3 linked regions of the Alligator mississippiensis genome follow. The protein of the gene in region 1 binds, or shares a complex with, the protein of each later gene. Links are inferred from orthologs where the notes say so. Each region holds a gene or a part of one and is shown in the gene's direction. Other genes may lie near its edges.

Region 1 (3,743 bases):
TACTGGGACAGACCATAGGTCCCTCTTTGCTGTGGCAGAGAGCGGGGGCTGGAAGGGAGAGCGACCTGGGTCTGACCAGGGGTTTTGCCCCCTGTTCCTCTCTCCCTTGCAGCCTCCAGCATTTCGGGTCTGATTCGGAGGTCGTGCCCCTCACTCTCATGCTCAATAGTGACCCCCAAATATGTGTCCAGTCCCTTTGTGAATGTGGTTGAACTCTCAGCGTCCACCGCCTCTGGTGGCAACGACCCCCAGCCTTTAATGATGCGCTGGGGGAAAACGAACTTCCTTATGTTCATTTTAAACCGACGACCTGCTCGTTTTACCGTGCGACCCCTCGTTCTCATCTTGCGAGCGAGAGCCAGTAACAAATCCCCGTTGACTTCCTCTTCGCCATTTAGTTTTGTGTAAACCCTCGTCATGTCGTCCCCCCCCCCATGGCCTCTCCTTCCCGCACTGAGCAGCTCTGGCCTCATCGGGAAGCCCCTCCATGCCGCTCATCATCCCCGTCGCCCTTCTCTGGGCCTTAAACAACCTGCTGTGAGGCTGGGAGAACGGGCTGGCGTCCAAAGCAATTCAGATGGGAGAGGTTCATAGATTCATAGATGTTAGGGTCGGAAGGGACCTCAATAGATCATCGAGTCCGACCCCCTGCATGGGCAGGAAAGAGTGCTGGGTCTAGATGACCCCAGCTAGATGCTCATCTAACCTCCTCTTGAAGACCCCCAGGGCAGGGGAGAGCACCACCTCCCTTGGGAGCCCGTTCCACACCTTGGCCACTGGAACTGTGAAGTTCTTCCTAATGTCCAGTCTAAGGAGAGGGGTCTAAAGCAGTTCAGGTTGGAGAGGGGTCTAAAAATTCAGATGGGAGAAGAGTCTAAAACAATTCAGGTGGGAGAGGGGTCCAAAGCAGTTCAGGTGTGCGCGGGGTGCCGCGGGGCCGGGGGCACGCACGCGTGCAGCGGGTCCGCTTCCCCACCGCCTGCCGGGGCGCGCCGCGACGGGACGGGAGCGCTGCCAGGAGAAACCCAGAGGGTTTTGTACGAGTCCCAGGTCGAATGAGCCCGCTCGGGTCCGACCCGTGCGAGTCGCCGGTAGCGGGGCCACGTGCGAGCATCCTCCGCTCCGCTCCCCTCCGCTCCCCTCCCCCGGCAGCTTGCGAGGCCGAGGGCGCCCGGGCGGGAGGGCGGGCGGGCTGGCAGCCGCGCTCTGCTCCGCCGGGGCCGGGGGCGGGGCGGGGCGGGGCGGGGGGCGGCGCCGTGCCGGCCGGGCGGAGCCGGCTGCAGCCAATGGAGGTGCGGGGGCCGGCGCCGGGCTCCTCCCCGCCGGGGGAGGCCGGTGCCCAATGGGGGCAGCGGGCGGCGGCTCCGAGCAGCTCGCCGCCGCCGCCGCCGGGATGCCGCTGGCGCAGCTGGGCGACCCGTGGCCCGCCGCCGCCGCCGCCGCCGAGGAGCTGGTGCAGCTGGACGCCGAGGTGAGCCGCGCGCCCGCCGCGAAAGTTTGCAGCGGACAAAGGGTCGGGAGGGAGGGGCTGTGCCCTGTCCTTCCCTTCCCTTCCCTTCCCTCTGCCCGCATCTCTGCGGACACCCCCTCTCACCCCCGCCCCCCACCCGCTTCCCGGAGGGCTTTGGAGGGACGGCGGCGTCGCGCCCGTGTGTCGCCGGCCCCCAGCACCGCGTGCGCCCCGAGGCGCCCGCTTCCCTTTACGGAGGGCAGGACGTCTACCCTGACCGCGGGCCGCCGTCGGGCTCTCGGGCGCGTCCAGCGGAGTTTGGGCTGGCCCCCGCGGCGCCGAGTCGCTTGCTGCGGGGTGGGTCGCGTCCTTGCCTCGGGCGCGATCGTGTCTCGCCGTGCCCGCGGTGCCCCCCGCCGCCCCCTCTCCCGAGCGTGTTCGCGGACACGCGCTGGCACCGGGGCACGTCTCGCGAATCTCCGGGGGGGCTAGAAGCCCCGGGGAGGCGCTCGCGGGTGCACGCTCTCCCCTCCCGCTTAATTCAGGCCTCCGATCGAGGTCTTCAGGGACTTGAATGCCGTCTGCCCTCTTAAGGGTGCCGTAGACCACAGAACCGTCCAAGGCAAAGCGCAGGCGTGGGCAACCACCGTGCCGTCCCACCGTGCTCCTTTGCCCGGTTCCTGCGAACGCGAATCGGCCTCTTCGTGGCACGGTCGCCGCGCGTGGGGTTTTTCGTAAGCCCGGATGCTGTTTCTTCCATCTTGCAAGCTGCCCCTGGACGCGGCAGTGTCGTGCTCTGGGCTCGCAGGCTTTCTCACTAAGGTCGACTGGTCCCGACTCTTTGAGAGAGACTCCTCTGTCTTGCAGGTTTGGGAGGGGGAATGGGTGGTCAGAGCTGCTTTTTCACCAGCCACCTCGCAAGACTTGGACTGGATGCTTCACCCCGCTTGCCTGGCAGCAGGGTCACGGGGCTCCACCTGCCGTGGGCTGGACGGGCACCTGCAGCGGGCTACCAGCATCTGCCGTAAAGCTTTTGGAGCCATTAGGATGCGTGTGCGCACCAGGGTGGGAGAAAAGAGTGAGAACTCATTCTGCAACGATTCAATCTCCCTGCCTGATATCACAGAGTGCTTTCAGGCCTGCCCATTGTGGTGAGGCAGCACAGATCCACAAGATAACAGCGTCACAGTAAAACACGACGGCGCTTTAGGCTGTTTTTTTAAATTTTAAGTTGGGAGGCTTCACGTGAAGCCAGACGACGCGATAAAAATAATGGGAGGGGAGAAGCGAACATCCGTGCCCAGTGCTGTTGGCAGGAGTGAGACTTCTGCTTGATCCTACAGACAGACTGTGTTTTTGTGTCTAATGTCTCGCTGCGGTGCCAACACGGGCAATGCTCTGCGTCTGGTCTGCAGGGGTTGGGTTCTTTTGTCTGCTGCATTTGGCGGTTGGAGGTCTCTGAAGTTTGAGAGAAACAGGGCAGAGAGGGAGCTAATGCAATGGCGCATTCTTGCCTATTGCCTCCCAGGTAGCCTACCCAAAAATGCAAGGTCTCCCTTGCGCTTGGCATCTCTAAAACTCAGTCCTATAGCTTCCGGGATCATTTTATTCTGCAGGCCTGAGTTCATTTGCTAACATCCCAACTAGCTCGAGAGGCGGTAGGTATACCCATGTGCTGGATCTCACGTTGCAGAATGGATGGTGTCAATAGCTTTTTGTTTTGCCTCCAAGATTGACTGCCATCTTCTGCGCCGGATGTCAGCATGTTCCCTCTGCGGCAGCGGAGTATCTGTCTGGCCGTGATTGAAAACCTGAGTCTGAGCCATGCCCTGCATGGGCTGAGGTTACTCCAGGGCAGCGGAAGCAAGTGGTCCCTGCTACGGCAGGAAGGTAGTTAAGAAATGGAAGAGACTTTTCTGGAATGTGAGTTACGTAAATCCCCCTGGGATCCTTGCCACAAATGGGCCTCCTCAAACCTTTGCTCTCTGAGTCACGGCACAGAGGTGTTAGTACGGTGCCGCTGGAGAAATCAGCCCCATTGTTCTGTCACGTTAGTAATCTGGTTCTCCGGTGGTCGCAGTCGGGCCTGTTTGGCACAGCAAGCTGGGGGGCTCCCGCGTGGAGCCCTGAGCTGCCTCCTGGGAAGGGGGACGACTGCACCCCGGGAGCCAAAGTGGAGCACGCTTCAGTGCTGGGGAGCTCCCTGGCAGATCGATCCCCCCCTCACACCACCACCTTCTACCCCTGTGATTCGCAACGCTGTTCTGCGCTCCGGCTGGGACAGCGTGCCAGC
Region 2 (3,743 bases), on another chromosome or scaffold:
GGGAAATAATCCTATTGTTAGTAAAATAACCTTCAGAAAGCAAGATTGGAGAGATTTTGGATGGCTCCAGTTATGAATTGCCTTCTGTTATGCACTCGTATATGACACCTCTTACTTGAGAAGTACCTATCTACCCCAGGGTTGCTACCTTCCAAGTAGCTGGACTCCTTTCACTTTGATTCACATGCCTCTTGGTCTTTTACCTACTTCACTCCTTAAGCCAGTGATTCTTGATCAGGATGATGAGATCCTTTCAGGGGTGTCACACATTAGCACTGGTGGGTGTGGAAACATGAATCACAAGATAAACCCAGAGTCCAAATGGGAATCTATGGCATTAAATACATTCTGATCTGTTGTAGTTTGAGTTCTTGGCAACAGAATTGGAGAGGTGCCTTGAGTCTAAAAAAGTTGAGAACCACAGCCCTAGGCATTCCTACTCCCCCCATATTATCACTATCCATTGCTTCCCTTTTCCTCTCCCATGTCCTGTCTTTTCCAGCTCCTTCTTCTGCATCTCTGTCCACCTACAACTCCCCAACAGCTTTCTCTTCAACCCCTAACCTTGCAGGCCTTGGTTCTCCTTTACAGAAACAGAGACACGGCTGTTTTACAAAGCAACTAGCCTGAGCCTTCTCCTAATAGAGCTGGCCCACGTTTTCTCCAGGGTAAGAGGCTGCTACTTTCTCCCACTTCTCAGGGATCCTGTTTTGAGCTGGGTGAGGGCTGCCTCTTCTTTTTGAGGACAAGATCCGGAAAAGTCCCGCCAAAGAGAGCATGGGCTTCTTCCCTTTCTTTTTTTTTAAACACTGTGCAGTTAAGACTCCTCAAGACAAGGGAAGGGGGGAAACAAAGGGCATCATTCATTTGGGGTCTGGCTGGCACAGCTAGCCCCAAATTCAAATGCAGTCCCTCCCTGACTGCAGCCAGATGGTGTAAATCGGAAGAGCCAGGAGGCTGCTCTAATCTGTGACTGGGCATATAAATAGGTGCCCTCATGCTTTTCAGCTTCTTCTTTGACTCCTCTCCAGGGTAGGGGGGAGAGAGGAGTCATTGAAAGGGCCCTGCCCTAGGTTCAAATGAAAGATGGATAGACACCATGAGGCATGTTGCAGCACTGCCTTCCTAGCCGACTGGCTCTTCTTTGGAGCTGGACAGTCCTTTTGGGGGGGGCATGACTTTGCACCTGTGGCCCAAGTTTACTAGTCAGTCGTGCAGAGCATGCACTGTGTGACAGGGACCATCGTGCCTGTCACAGGGGGGCGGCCAGGGCAGCCCGTTTGCACAGCCCAGGTCCCTCTCGGCTGCAGGAGACCTCTCCGCGCCCCCTCCTCCCCGCAGTTTTGGGCGGGAAGGGCTGGGCCGCGCCGGGGCCCAGGGGAGGGCGAGAGGGAGCGCGGGGCCGGGCAGCGACGGCGGCGGCGCCTTGCCCGAGCAAAGCAGAGCAGAGCAGAGCAGAGCAGAGCAGCGAAGTTCAGGAGGGAGCAGGCGCCGCCGCCGCCTCCTCCTCCGCCGCCTGCTCAGCCCCGGGCGGGCGCGGGGCGTCCATGCGCGCGGCGGCGGCGGCGGGGCGCAGCGTTCAGCCGCGGAGCCGCCCGCTGCACGGGGGACATGGAGGCGGCGGGGAAGCAGCCGCCTGCAGCGCAGCAGCGGGAGCGCCCGGCCAGCCTGCTCGTCCCCACCTGGGCAAGTAACCCCGCCGCGGGCTCGGGCGCGGGCGGGTCGCACGACGGGGGCTGGCCGTGCTTGCCTGGGCAGAGCCGCTGCCCCTCCGCACGGCGCCGTCCAGCCCCCCTGGGAGCCGGGCCGGGCCGGGCCGGGCCGGGCTCTCCCCGCCGCCCCGAAGACGGGAAACTTCCCCGCGCCGCTGCGCCAAGTCGCCGGGAAGTTGTGGCGGGGGAAGCCCGGCCCGGGGCGCGCTGCAGACCCAGGGGCTGCGCCTGCCTCCGGCCCGGCCGAGACCCCCGAGCGGAGGGAGGCTGTCGTGTCCGGCCGGCCGGACCTCAGGTCCAATACTGACCGTGTGCGCGCACGCCTGCGACCCAAATACTGAGTGTGCGTGTGTGTGCGTCTCCCCAAGACCCCAGACCAGTCTGTGTACATCTCTCAGACCCAAATATTAAATGTGCGTGTGTGTGCGAGTCTCTTAAGACCCAAATCTTCTGTGTGTGTGTCAGTAAGACCCAAGTAATAAGTGTGGATGGGTGTGTGTCCCTAAGACCCAATATGGGGTGGGTGGGTGTGTGTGTGTGTGTGTGTGTGTGTGTGTGTGTGTGTTCATGTATCCCTAGGTCCCAAATATTAAGTGTGTGTGTGTGTGTGTGTCCAAGTCCCAACTAGTGTGTGTGTGTGTGTGTAAGCTCTGGTTAGTGCATTAAAATAAGACTACAGAAAGTTATTTATTCACCATTGAAAAGTAGAAAAAAAATGTTTCTTGCCATGAGTGAGGGCATCACTTTTTAAGTGAGTCACTGAATGCCTTTGGATGTGGCTTTCTGCCTGTATTGCCCTTCATTGAGCCAGCTGCTAAATGCCAATGAAAGTGCACTCCTCCTTTGCATGACTATGTACTTTAAATTCTTAGCAATATGCTGTAATGTTAAAGCCAGGCACCTGTTTGTGAGTGTGTTTTAACACATACTTGAATTGTTTGAATTTTTTTGAATTTTTCAATTGTAGTTTAATCATATCATATGCGATTCATACAGTCAGAGTGCCATGCTGAGCAAATATTATTTCTGTATTCTAAAGTGTATACTTTTATATGCATTGAGAACCAACAGCTGATTAGGGAGTTGGAGGGGCAGGCTTATCACCACATATTTAAAAAACATATTTTTATAAATGATGCCCTCTGATGGTTGATCTCCACTATCCCTGATTGAATAAATGAAAGCAGTCTGGTATCCCTGGTTTGAAGAGCTCTGTTCCATGATTATAAGGGACTTTAACTATGAACAATATGATGTTCTTCATAGGGCATGAGTAAAATTTATGATAGTCTTTAAGTACAGTTGATAGTCTTATTAATCATCTAGAAATAATTTTATTATAAACACAGTGCATAAAACTGATTGCTTTTGTTGAAATATATAAGCATCCCACTTATTTATGCCCTGTCCTGATATCTTAAATTAGTTATTTACATGGCTTCTAATGACATGCTATCCTTGAACTCAGCTAGTATTTTTTTTTTTTAGAGAAACTTAAGTATTTCTATCTTCTTTCCAATGTTTTTTCTAAAAGCTCTGTTCCTTTTTTCTTTACCCTTAAGTGGATGAAGCATCCACTAGCATCTAGCATCAATAAACTAGCATCAATAAACATTTTGATTATTTTTGTGAGCTTCAGTAATTTTTAAACAATAGATCTAAATATAGAAATCTATGATTTAGATATGCTGAGAATGTGAGTGACAACTAATAGAAGTTGGTCAAGCAACTGAAAATTTTGCTTTATATATAACAGAAGTGTCTAGCTTTAGCACGTGTATATTTTCTGAATGTATCCCTGTATCTGTGAGGAGATTGCTGTATTCATTAATATGTTAAACGATTCACAAGCAAATGATAGCTTTAAATGTGGAAAATTCTGAATTGGGCTTAAGACATGTTATTCCACAGCTTTTAATTTGAAAGCCATGTTCTAACTTGTGAATAATCTATGCAGCAATTATCTTAAAATTTTACCTATTGCGTAGGTTGGAAACTAATGCATGACAGTTTGGAATATTTCAGTATTAA
Region 3 (3,743 bases), on another chromosome or scaffold:
GGCCAAGAAAGGCAGAGAAGGGGTGTGAGTGTTTGTGGGGAGGATAAACCATGGACGGAGGAGATAGGACTATTTAAGCTGCAGGCACAGGAGCAAATGGGGACGAATAAGTGGATGAGAAAGCTGATCCCTGGAGCAGCCTTCCAGCGGGAGCCGCAAAACTGTGCAGATGGAGTCTGTAACTTTACTGGAAGTGGCTGTCTGCGATCGCAGGGAGCCTGAGAGGAAGGCTGCTCTTGGGATTCATGCCTTCAGCTTTACAGCACCCCTCCCGTGCAAAGCTAGAGGATCCTGGCTGGGGGGGTGGGTCTCAGCCCTTTGCTCAGGGTCACACTCATGCTACTTTGCGGTCAGGAAGGACTTTTATTGGTGCAGATTTTGGGGTGGGGAGTTGTAGCTCTAACCCTAACCCATACTGCTTTGGGGTCAGTTAAGTCTTTAATTGATGCAGATGGGGGGTGGTAGCAGTAGCCTTAACACTAACCCTAACCCATGCTGCTTTGGGGTCAGGAAAGTCTTTAATTGATGCAGATGGGGGGTGGTAGCAGTAGCCTTAACACTAACCCTAACCCACGCTGCTTTGGGGTCAGGACAGACTTTAATTGATGCAGATGGGGGGTGATAGCAGTAGCCTTAACACTAACCCTAACCCAGGCTGCTTTGGGGTCAGGACAGACTTTAATTGATGCAGATGGGGGGTGATAGCAGTAGCCTTAACACTAACCCTAACCCAGGCTGCTTTGGGGTCAGAAAGGACTTTTATTGGTGCAGATGGGGGAGGGGGGAAGGTTGTAGCTCTAACCCTAACCCATGCTGTTTTGGGGTCAGGAAGGACTCTTCACCCCACTGTGGGATTGGTGCAGATGGGAGGGGGGGGGTATATCCCTAATCCTATCCCTACCCCACTTACCTTTGGGTCAGGAAGGACTTCCCCCCATGCTCAGATTGGTTTAGACAGGGGGCTAACCCAAACCCAGGCTGCTTGGGGTCATGGTGAGATGGGTGCAAACTGGTGGGGGGGGGGGGATCTCTCTGGCAGCAGGGGCTGGGGGGGGGGGGTCAGGGTTGCGGTCGTCCTGGAAGTGGGGCAGGGGGTTGCAATCGGGTGCGACCAAAGACAACTTGTTGGGGCAGGGAGCCCGCAGCGCACACACGTGCGGGGGGCGGGGCCGGGCGGGGCGCATGCGCGGGCGGGGGGGGCGGGCGCTGGAACGCGATAGAATGAAGTGTAACAAAACAAGCCGCGTCTTTGTATCGCCTTAAAGGAAGCCGGCGGCGGCGCGGGGGAAGCGCTCGCGTCCCGGCCGGGCCGCCGAGAGGAAGGAGGCGGCGCACAGGGAGGAGGAGGAGAAGGAGAAGGAGGCGGCGCCCGGCTGGCTCCGGGACCCGGCATCGGGGATGGCTTGAGAGAGGCGGGTGGGAGCCCGCAGCCCCCCGCAGCCATGGCCAAGGCGCTGCCGAGGAAGAGCCACTGGACGGGCCGGCTGCAGCGGGGCGCGCTGAGCCGCGGGCCGGGCATCGCGGTGCTGGGCGGCGCGGAGCACGGCGAGTTCGCCTACGTGGGCTCCGTGGACGGCGGCGACGGGGCGCTGCGCCCCGGGGACCTGCTGCTGGAGGTGCGCGGTGTCCGCGTCGCCGGCTTGCCCCGCTACGACGTGCTGGAGCTGCTCCGCGCCGGCGCCGAGCCCGCCACCTTCACCGCCGTGCGACCAGGTACCTACCTACCTACCTGCCTCGGGCACCCACCCTAACCCCGCCCCGCCCCGCCCCGCCAGCCTGGGTGCGCACCAAGTAATCCCCGTGTGGGTTCCTGGGGGGGGGCGCGCCATAAATGAGTGCCCGCCACCCTCCCTCGTGTGCCAAGGTGGCACCCCGTCACCGCGCACGGCACCGGTGGATCAGCGTGCGTGTCACCGGGGTATCGCGCAATAAATGTACACCAGCTGTAGAGTAATTGTGCGATTCAGTGGGGGCCGGCGCAATAAATGTTGACTGGACGTGTGTGTGTAGAGTAATTATGGTGTGATTCAGGGAGGGGGCACGGCGCAATAAGTGTAGAGCGGCTGTGGGTGTAATTATGGTGCGAGTCAGCGGGGGACCACGTGATAAGTGTAGACTGGCTGCGTGTGTAGAGTAAATATGGTATGATTCACTGGGGGGCGGCGCAATAAGTGTAGGCTGGCTGCACGTGTAAAGTCATTATAGTACGATTCAGTGGGGGACAGCGCAATAAGTGTAGACTGGCTGCACGTGTAGAGTAATTGTGCAGTTCACTGGGGGACGGCGCAATAAATGTAGACCGGTTGCATGTGTAGAGTAATTATGGTGTGATTCAGGGAGGGGGCACGACGCAATAAGTGTAGAGTGTCTGTGTGTGTAATTATGGTGCGAGTCAGTGGGGGACCACACGGTAAATGTAGACTGGCTGCGTGTGTAGAGTAAATATGGTATGATTCCCTGGGGGACGGCGCAATAAGTGTAGACCAGCTGTGTGTATAGAGTAATTATGGTGCGATTCAGAAGGGCATCGCGCAATAAGTGTAGAACAGCTGTGTGTATAGAGTAATTATGGCGTGATTCAGTGGGGGACTGCGCAATAAGTGTAGACTGGCTGTGTGCGTAGAGTAATTATCGTGCAATTCACTGGTAAATCGTGCAATAAATGTAGACCGGCCTCATGTGTAAAATAATAGTGCCATTCACTGGTGGATCGTGCAACATGTGTGCATGTGGCATAACTGTCCTGCCCTAAAAATGACTCTCCAGCTATGAAAAGAGCCAGCCAGCTCTACAGGTAAGGCTTGAAAATGCATAGCAGCTCGAGAGCTGGCTTCTCTACGTGGAGCAGAGCCCTCCAAAGCAGAGCAGTTGGTTGTCCCGTTGCCTTGTGATGGTTAAAAGAGTTTAAGCGTGCAACTGCTAGCTGTCTGCTGGGGTTCGGGTCTCAGGTTTGGCACAGGAAAAGATGGGACTCTTTCTTACCACCCCTCCTTGCCGTGATTACACAGCCTGCCTGAAAACCAGACCTCCCTAGCAGTGGGGAGCCCTGCATGGGTTAGGGGACAGGGGAAGGGGCACCTGCACCTCAAGGCCGGCTGCGGGAGACAACAGCAAGGCTCCCGCCGCTGTACGCAGAGCGGACGTGTAACAGGTTAGCAGCACAGGCCTGTTTAATAGGTTCATAGTTTCCAGACCAGGACGTGAATTTTGTGCCAGGAAACTGTTGCTGTTGCAACAGCTGTTATGATTATTTTGCATGCGCAGGATTTGGAAATAAACAGGATTATATTGGAACACCTGTAGGCTTGCAGGGTGCTCCGGCACACCAGGGTCATCTATAAATGGAGGCAGGAAAGGAAGTGCGTTTAGGATAATGCAGTGGATTTCTGGAGGGGAAAGTTTATTACCCCACAAACATGTCCTCATCCCAGGCTAGAGCGGGATTTGCTGTGTTTGGCCAAAGCAGTGATGTCTCGTGTAGCTGATGGGCGGGCAGCAACTACAGACTTGCTCCAAAGAAAATTAATCATACATTTTTTTTTGTGCGTGTGTGTGCGGCTGTTAACCTTCTTGTAAAGCAGCACCGCTAACTTCTCAGCCTCTCTCTCTGCGAGCCCTGTTAAAAACCAGTCTGGTAGGTCACATGCACTTGTTGCACAGAGATTATTTGGACTTCTCGTGCGAGTAAATGACAGTAACGTTGCGTTCTCTTCGGTGCGAGCAGGAAGGAAGCAGGAGTCCGC

Evidence for each region.
Region 2: the proteins of RPS6KA1 (region 1) and SNTG2 are in contact, whole or in part, in a crystal structure (PDB 7QQL), measured with the Homo sapiens proteins. The link is inferred for Alligator mississippiensis from reciprocal best matches to the Homo sapiens genes RPS6KA1 and SNTG2. Residues at the interface, in NP_002944.2 of Homo sapiens: Pro731, Ser732, Thr733, Thr734, Leu735; in NP_061841.2 of Homo sapiens: Gly82, Gly83, Leu84, Gly85, Leu86, Ser87, Ile88, Lys89, Gly90, His94, Ser101, Lys102, Phe104, His134, Val138, Leu141, Arg142.
Region 3: the proteins of RPS6KA1 (region 1) and MAGI1 are in contact, whole or in part, in a crystal structure (PDB 5N7F), measured with the Homo sapiens proteins. The link is inferred for Alligator mississippiensis from reciprocal best matches to the Homo sapiens genes RPS6KA1 and MAGI1. Residues at the interface, in NP_002944.2 of Homo sapiens: Pro731, Ser732, Thr733, Thr734, Leu735; in NP_001028229.1 of Homo sapiens: Arg480, Gly481, Phe482, Gly483, Phe484, Thr485, Val486, Val487, Gly488, Asp490, Lys499, Ser500, His532, Val536, Phe539, Gln540.

The regions. Positions count from the first base shown.
Region 1 is NC_081829.1:3,030,186-3,033,928, reverse strand, and holds the start of RPS6KA1 (ribosomal protein S6 kinase alpha-1), read left to right. Parts: upstream 1-1,324; 5' UTR 1,325-1,342; coding exon 1,343-1,471; intron 1,472-3,743. UniProt on the Homo sapiens protein: Serine/threonine-protein kinase that acts downstream of ERK (MAPK1/ERK2 and MAPK3/ERK1) signaling and mediates mitogenic and stress-induced activation of the transcription factors CREB1, ETV1/ER81 and NR4A1/NUR77, regulates translation through RPS6 and EIF4B phosphorylation, and mediates cellular proliferation, survival, and differentiation by modulating mTOR signaling and repressing pro-apoptotic function of BAD and DAPK1.
Region 2 is NC_081824.1:38,799,602-38,803,344, reverse strand, and holds the start of SNTG2 (gamma-2-syntrophin), read left to right. Parts: upstream 1-1,402; 5' UTR 1,403-1,611; coding exon 1,612-1,686; intron 1,687-3,743. UniProt on the Homo sapiens protein: Adapter protein that binds to and probably organizes the subcellular localization of a variety of proteins. May link various receptors to the actin cytoskeleton and the dystrophin glycoprotein complex.
Region 3 is NC_081835.1:4,521,299-4,525,041, reverse strand, and holds the start of MAGI1 (membrane-associated guanylate kinase, WW and PDZ domain-containing protein 1), read left to right. Parts: upstream 1-1,228; 5' UTR 1,229-1,442; coding exon 1,443-1,713; intron 1,714-3,743. UniProt on the Homo sapiens protein: Plays a role in coupling actin fibers to cell junctions in endothelial cells, via its interaction with AMOTL2 and CDH5. May regulate acid-induced ASIC3 currents by modulating its expression at the cell surface.